Linked DNA regions of Macaca mulatta. The protein of the gene in region 2 purifies or fractionates together with the protein of the main gene of each other region. This does not show direct contact. Links are inferred from orthologs where the notes say so. Each region holds a gene or a part of one and is shown on either strand. Other genes may lie near its edges.

Evidence for each region. Proteins that work in one complex are often made in the same cells at the same time.
Region 1: the proteins of SLC31A1 (region 2) and B3GAT3 purify together in Homo sapiens (co-immunoprecipitation; 3 studies listed by BioGRID and IntAct, with this or other methods). This does not show direct contact. The link is inferred for Macaca mulatta from reciprocal best matches to the Homo sapiens genes SLC31A1 and B3GAT3.

What each region holds. Positions count from the first base shown.
Region 1 is NC_133419.1:11,443,649-11,447,780, reverse strand, and holds the start of B3GAT3 (galactosylgalactosylxylosylprotein 3-beta-glucuronosyltransferase 3), read right to left. Parts: upstream 2,801-4,132; 5' UTR 2,764-2,800; coding exon 2,682-2,763; intron 2,110-2,681; exon of another isoform or gene 1,940-2,109; coding exon of another isoform or gene 1,871-1,939; intron 1,488-1,870; coding exon 1,313-1,487; intron 1-1,312. UniProt on the Homo sapiens protein: Glycosaminoglycans biosynthesis. Involved in forming the linkage tetrasaccharide present in heparan sulfate and chondroitin sulfate.
Region 2 is NC_133420.1:45,087,296-45,091,394, forward strand, and holds the start of SLC31A1 (high affinity copper uptake protein 1), read right to left. Parts: upstream 2,803-4,099; 5' UTR 2,666-2,802; intron 1-2,665. Other genes in the region: FKBP15 (FK506-binding protein 15), read left to right, coding at 3,089-3,141.

The sequences.
Region 1 (4,132 bases), on a different chromosome or scaffold from region 2:
TGTGGAACGTGGAACGTGGGGCTTGGCTCTTCTGTGCTTCTTTATCCTTCAGATCTACCTGCCTGTCCCAGGGCTGGTGGTGTGTGTGTGTATGTGTGCATGTCACAGGTGGGGTCTAGAACTTCCTGTGCATGAATGGGACAGCCATCTGATTCCCAGATGTATTAACACCCTTATGGCTACAGATCCAAAAACCACATTCCCCAACTGGTTTTATTAGTAAAACCAATTACATTTTGATTTAAAACAAAAGCAAATGTAAATCACTAAACACAGTGCCTGGTAGAGAGTAAACACACTGTAAGTAACAGCTGGTATAACTATTTCTGGACCCTAGGATGACTATCAGGCCAAGTGCTTTCAACTTTTTTTTTTTTTTTTTTTTTTTGAGATGGGCTCTCTCTCTGTCGCCCAGGTTGCATGATCTCCACTCACTGCAACCTCCGCCTCCCAGGCTCAAGCAATCTTCCCACCTCAGCCTCCAGAGTAGCTGGGATTACAGGCATGCAGCACCAAGCCCAGCTACCTTTTTTTTTTTTTTTTTTTTTTTATAGAGACAAAAGTTTCACCATGTTGCCCAGGCTGGTGTCAAACTCCTGAGCTCAGGCGATCCACCAGCCTCGGGCTCCCAAAGTGCTGGGATTACAGGCATGAGCCACTGCGCCCAGACAAGCCCTTTCAACTTTAATCAGGGGGTTTTAACTTTCTCCCCAAAGGGTCCCTAAGGAGAGAGAGTTAATTCACTGCCAAGCTCAAAATTTATTTGAAATGTTATTGTTCTGTCTTATAATTTGGTAGGAATTTTGTATTTTCCTTCTAGAAAAACAACCATTTTTTCTTTTTTTTTGGTTTTGTTTTTGAGATAGAGTTTCACTCTTGTTGCCCAGGCTAGAGTGCAATAGTGTGATCTCAGCTCACTGCAACCTCCACCTCTCAGGTTCAAGGGATTCTCCTGCCTCAGCCTCCCAAGTAGCTGGGATTACAGGCATGCGCCACCACACCTGGCTAATTTTGTATTTTTAGTAGAGACGGGGTTTTGCCATGTTGGCCAGGCTGGTTTCGAACTCGCGACCTCAGGTGACCCACCCGCCTTGGCCTCCTAAAGTGCTGGGATTACAGGCTTGAGCCACCGCGCCCCGCCTGAAAATGAACTATTTTCCCACAGCTATTTTAGTATAGATGTGGTTCATTTATCCTGTCTTTGGCATGCCCTAGTTTGAGGAACAACTCCTAGCCCAGTGCCTCCCCAAACTCCTCATCAACTCCAACTCATTGGACAATGCAGACCTCTTGGGTGTACCAGAGCCCATACCTGGCATAGGTGGGGGTAACAACATAGATAGTAGGCAGGGCCTCAGGTTCAGGGGGCTGGGCAGGGGCAGGGGGTGGCCGTCGGAGTTCCGCTTGCAGCTGGGAAATCCTCAGATCCTTCTGCCGTAGCTGCTCCGCTGCTGCCCGCAGGGGAGGAAGGCAGTCACATGGCTGGCCTGGTCCCAGGAAGCATTAATGGGGAAAGAGGATGGGGGCAGAGAACCACAGAATGTTCAGCATCCCAAAGGGCCATAATCTTCTCATTAATTCCTAGACAATGCAGGTATCCCCTTATGACTTCCCTAGTAGCCTTTTCTACACTTCTGGTGTGGGAAACTCACTGCCTCAAGCAGCAGACCCTCTCCAACTTTAATAAATTCCATTGTTACAATTTTACGTTGGATATTGAGCTGATTCCATCTTTTCTATCTGCTGGTCCTAATTTTGCCTTCTGGACTCATAACAAGCTCATGTCCTTAAACAGGACAGTCTTTTCAGAGTCCAAGGTGCTAACTAACCATTACACTATAGAACCCCTTTAGGATAGTCTTTCAAATACCTGAGGATAACGCAGTGGCACTGTCCCTAAATCTTTGCATAAGGGGCAGGGTTCGATCCATTCCCTTGGCTGGGTGACCAAAGACTCATTGTTAAATTCATTGATTCCATTGTAGGATAAATATTTATTGAATACTCTTCCTAGGAGGCACTGCCTTAGGTGCTGAGGATACAGCAGGGAACAAAACAGACACAGTCCCTGCCCTCATCGAGCTTTCAGTTTAGCGGAGGAAGCAGACACTAAGCAAAGAAACAAATTAATAACATTATTACAAACTGTGATGGGGTCATGAAAAAAATAATCAGGATAGAGAATAAAAGGGAATGGAATAAGAATGGTATCTTTAGCTATGGTAGTCAGGGAAGGCCTCTCTGAGGAGGTGACATTTGAGCTAAGACCTGAAGGATGAGAAAGAGGCAGCCCGGAAAGAGCTGGAAGAAAAGCACCCCAAGTAGAGGGAACAAGTTAAGCGCTTGAGAGAGCAATGAGCCTGGCGTTTTCGAGAAACTGTCAGCAAGCCAGTCTGGCTGCAGCAGAGCGAGGGAGAGGGGTGGGAAATGGGGTTGGGAGAGGCGGACGGCAGCAGGATCATGCGGGGCCTTGCAGGCTCTGGGAAGGAGTCTGGATTTCATCCGAGGTGCGGCGGGCCGCCGCGGTGCGTTCTATAGAGGGGAGTGCGCCTGCGGCCGCAGAGCTGTCCGGAGGGTCGAGCGGATGAATGGTGTTTGCCGGGGGTTCATCCCCAGGGCGGGATGCACGGCGGCGGGCGCCCACGGGCCAGCCCGCCGCACCCCCGCCCCGCCCCGCTCACCGAGCTGTACCAGCGCGTAGAGGAGGCCGGCGATCGACACCAGGAAGTAGGCGAGAAACACGTTCTTCAGCTTCAGCTTCATGGCCGCGCCGCCGCCCGCGCCCGAGCAGGCGGGGTCTAGAGGGGACGAGGGGTTCCCGCCCCAACCCCCGGCGCCTGCCCACAGGCCCCGCCCCTCCACCGGCTCCGCCCTGCGTCCCGCCTTCTTCGCACTCCCCTACCAGCTCCTAGCCGGGGCTGGCAGCACCGCCCGGGCACGCTTCCGGTCATCTGTGCCCCCTTGTAGACTTGATTTCCGGTCCCACCGCCAGGCTCCGGGAACCACGGGGCGGTGACGTCACATCCGGCGTGCCAAACTCGCGTGGACGGCAGTCAAAATCCCGGGTAGGTGCAGAATCTCGGGTAGGTAGGTGCACGTGGCACCTACCTCGCGACCCGCCCCCGATCACGGAATTGCATGAGAAAGCCAGTCCTGCCGTCCAGATCTTCACCTTATTCATCCAACCATCAGTCACGCCACCCAACAGCAGTTGCTCAATACTCATTACACAAATGAATGAAATCTAAGGCCCACCACATGATCCTCTGGGTGTCTCTCCTGGAATTATCACTATAATACTTTGAGATAGATAAGAAACTAAAGTTGACAAAAATTATGTCATTGCCACAAGGCAGTTTTGTGTCCTTTCTAGACACCTGATTCCGGCATCTCTAGTGTTTCCTCTGGCCCACATTTCTTCAACAGATGACAACAAGGGTGCCAAGGAAGTGTTTTAACTACCAGGAAATTGATTGGAAATAGTTCCTGAGCTGGAGAATTCCAGGAATGCATCCCCTTCCTCCTCACAAGCACAAGCCATCCTTCTCATTTTTCCTTTAAAAAAAAAAAAAAAAAGGGCCTGGCACAGTGGCTCATGACTGTAATCCTAGCACTTTAGAAGCCCAGGAGTTTCAGATCAAACTCGGCAACAAGGCAAAACCCCGTCTCTACAAAAAAACACAAAAATTAGCCGGGTGTAGTGGCGCGGGCCTACAGTCCCAGCTACTTGGGAGGCTGATGTGGGCGGCTGAGGCTGTGGTGAGCCGTGATCATGCCACTGCACTCCAGCCTGGGTGACTGGGTGAGACCCCGTCTCAAAAAAAGCCCTCCAACCCCCACCAAAAAGAGTTTCTGGTAAAATAATCTCTGACTTGTGGTCAGTCTACAAAATGAGGGGGAGACGGGGAACAGTATACTTCCTGTCACTAAAACAATGGGAAACTTTACAAAATGCTGTTAGCTACAAGCAGAAGCCTTTAGGTTGGGCATGGTGGCTGATGCCTGTAATCCCAGCACTTTAGGAGCCTGGGAGGTCAAGGCTGCAATGAGCCGGGATCATGTCACAGCACTCCCAGCACTCCAGCCTCAGCAGTAGAACGAGACCCTGTCTCAACCCCCCACACCCCCCAAA
Region 2 (4,099 bases):
ATAAACACCTAGAAAGATTCTGCAGTGAGACTGCTTTGCAAGTGACTTTAAGTATTCATTCTATGTTAAAAATACCATAGATAAGGTAGGCCAGGGGCTAGCAAGCTCTTTCTGTAAAGGGTCAAAAGTAAACATTTTAGGTGTTGAAGGCCATGTGGTTTCTGTCTCAACCACTAATACTCAATTCTGCCTTGTAGGCTGAGAGTAGTCATAGACAATACATAAACAAATGAGCAAGGCTGTGTTCTAATAAAGCTTTACTTATAAAAACAGGCAACAGGGTCCTACATTCCAAGAAAAGGCTGAGGCCTTATGTTAAAAGAATGGCAAAAGAATGTTTATGTCCTCGTTAAAATGTTATGTATGTAACTATTATCTGTGTGATTCCCTGCTTTAACGTACTTCTTCAGTTAGCCAACTAATGGCCCTAAAAGTCTGCTTTCAGTAACTGAGTGAATGTTATAGATGCCCTAGAAGCTGCATTTAATTCATATTCCTGTCATTATACCTGATATAACTTGGTTATAACTTTAAACTACTAATTTTAAAATGCATGCATCAGTACAGATTAGTATGGGCATACTCGTATATAAAGACTGTCATCTCTGTTGCAAAATTGCTGATAATTTGAAAAGTATTAAAATTGCTGCTTCCCTGAGGGAGGAAGGAGGGTGGAGGGTGGAGGAAAAAAATTGCTGCTTCCTGGCCAATCTTCAGAGGGTTGACAATACATTTCATGAATATTCTAAAAGTTGTATACTTAAGCAAAACAAATAAACAAAAATGCTTACTTTAAACTTGAGATCAAGGTTGTGCCTTACTTGCTTTTGTATCCCCAAGAATTACTCAGTAGAAGTCCAGGTCTAATCCACTTGTTTTACGGTGTTTAGGGAGCCTGGACCAAACTCAGAGTTGAGTTAGAAGGGCTGGGACAGGAATTCAGATTTCCTGATTCCTAGTCCAATATTACCAATCTGAAGATACACGAATTTAGGAAGACAGTGGCTTTCTTTTCTTTTTTTTTAGGTGCACCCAGTCCTGCAGTTCAAAGCCTGGGAAGACTCACCATCATCTTCCTCCTCCTCATACTGCTAATAAGAATCAGCAGCTGTGTTTCTACAGTGATAATCTGGGTATGCACGTTCGTGATGTTCCAATCAACAAAAAGGCTATTGATTTTAGGATTCCTGAGTACCTAAAAAGCTACTTAAACATCCAGGATAAAAACACCTCCACCCAAGAATACAAGATCAGAGTTCAAATATTCCCTTGGCCATTTTTTTTTTTTAAAAGAAAAGGCTGGAAGGACATTTCATAAACAACTAGAAAGATTCTGCAGTGAGACTGCTTTGAAAGTGACTTTAAGTATTCACTCTATGTTAAAAATAGCATAGATAATGTAGGCCAGGGGCTAGCAAGCTCTTTCTGTTAAACATTTAGATGTTTCAGGGCTGCAATCACAGTGACCAGTATTGGGGAGAGTGATTAAAAAGTGCCATGGTACTTAATCCAGTTATTCCCCCAACACCTCTAAGAGGTAGCCAAGTTCACACACTAAACAGAGCTACTGCAACAGTTCTAATGCTAGTCCTTAGATTCTAGTTCCATTTCCGGTTCTAGTGCTTAGATTCCAGTTGCATCATTCCAACTGTGAGGCTTCGCTGCTTTAACATCTTTGCCAGGAGGTGCAAAGTTCTCTGGGAGGGAGAACTTCGCTTCAATTTCATACTGACAGATTGAAACATTCAGGTAAGGGACACCTGTAGTACCAACCTGACTGTGAGGGGAAGCCCAAGAACTCCATTGAGTCTGTGGACGCTACACTGGGACACTATCTCCTGAGCCACACCTTACCTAAGCCAGGACTACCCCAGGATTGTTTCGAGAATGAAACCAGGTTAACCAAAAAAATACTTAGGTAAGATACAGATAGGGTGGAAACTGGAGTCAGAGGAGTCCGTCACAATTGATGTTGATTTAGGACTGTCGCAGGAAGACCCAGGGAAACCCACGCCAAGGTTGGGCTGGGGATGTGTCTGCCTCCAAAGTATCCTCCTTTCCATCACCCACCGCCAGAATATCCTAGTTCTTCTGCACCTCACCTGCGTAGAATACAGGTGGACTCTAGAAAGGGAATTTTCCTCGAGGTGTATGCTACAGTCTTTCAATAGCCATTCTGTAAGGGCACACAGTGCTTAAGGGCTGGTAACGTTCTTGTTCACGCACTAGCTCACTATGTCCTGAATCAAAGGACGAGGAATCCAGTCTCAGTCTGCCCTTTACTCTTTGTGACCTCGGACTAGTCACCCGGGTGCTTAGTTCCTTCGTCTCCCTATCTGTAAATTCTGAGATTACGAGGAGGCCGGGATCGAAATCGATGGCCTCTGAGCTCTAAAAGCTTCTGGACCAGCCGGCACATGGAAGCACTGGACAAATGGCCGGTTGCACACACGGGGAAACTGAGGCACCGAGCACCGCGGCCCAAGGTCACTCTGGCTAAGCCACTGCAGGGACCGGGTCGAAGCCCAAGTCTTTAACCCTCCAGTCCCGCGCTCTTTCTCCTTCCGCGGAGCTGAGGAGAGCGGCCAGAAGGGTCCTTGTCCCGCTGGGGAAAGCACGGTACCCATGCACAGGGGTGCTAGAGAGGGACCGGGAGAAGCCTTACCTTCCCAGGTCGAGTCCAGCCACTGGCGCCTCTCTCTCCCAATCTTAACCCGTCACCCCCTCACGACTCCTCGAACGGCCCGTCCACTTCTACCCGGCTCGACGTGTCCACGACAGCCTCCGAGGCCGAGGATTTCCCGCCCCCTCCCGCCCCCTAGCATTACCGACCAATCCCTGCACGAGACTGTGAAGCTCCGACCCCCTGCGGGCTGGAGAGGCCTGACGTCTGGCGGCGCGAGCCTCTCATTTGCCTTTGCCCCACCTTCTCCAGAGCCTAGACTACTTTCAGCCCAGAGACCGTGAGGGAGTTCACCCTGCCGGAAAGCAGCACGCCGCCGCGGCATTTTACGACGTCGGCGGTGACAAGCCCTGGGACTCTGGAAATACCCAGCTTCCTCCCCGCAGCCTGGTGAAAGCCAACGCAATGTTCGGTGCGGGGGACGAGGACGACACCGATTTCCTATCGCCCAGCGGCGGGTGAGTGACTGAGAAGTATGCGCTGGAGGGCGTGGCTGAGAGATACCGGCGGATTTTTGGAGGGGGGTCGATCTCTTCTCAGGCCTTTTCCCAACTTCCGGGGGGAGACTCTTGACACATTCCGGTGCTCTACACCTCTCAGAATCTGGGCAGAGCTTCCAACTGTGCTGACTCTGCCAATCTGAGGTTCGGGACCCGGCATCTCTCTTGGCGCGAAGATAACCCTGGGGTTTGCCTTTTGCATTCTGGGTCACAATTTCTCCTGTGAAATGGGAATGATTGCTGATGAAACTTCCTGCCTCAGAATTTTTGTAGGAGTCACCTGGGGCTGATAAGAGACTTTCTCTTCTCCGTGGAGAAGGCGATGACACTTTAGAACCGGGCCCTGGTGGGTCAGCTCTAGCATTCTTCAAGGCCCAGCTCGGATGTCACGTTTTGGATGCTTTTCCTTCTCCTGCAGCCTCAGGCAGAATGAATTGCTTTCTCTTCCTTATTCCTACAGTTAGGTGTGTTTGCCTCTGTTCTTGTACCCCAAACCTATTAGATTATGAGTCCTCACAGGACAGGGACTGCTTATGTTGTTCATTTCTGTCTAGCACTCAGCATGGTACCTAGCACATAGTGAGTGCTCAGGAAGTGGCTGTTGAATGAATAATAGCTGCGAAACTGCACTTTGTAAAGTTTAAAGCTTAAAACCAACGTAACAGACTTCCGTCATTCTCCAGTTTCTTCAAGCGTTATATTAATATATACCAGCCTGGGATAGAAATCTTTAAAGAGAGGCAGGGTTTTGTCTCTTTCAGTGGTCAGTTTAGCCTTTTCCATTGTGTTGTGCCGGTGGACAGCTTGACTTCCTCCAAACTTGTGAGCTACCAAGCTCTGATCATTGCAGAGCTTATCTTTGAACATATGCTTAACAAATTTTGTGCGTGCTGAAGAATGTACTGGAAAAATGACA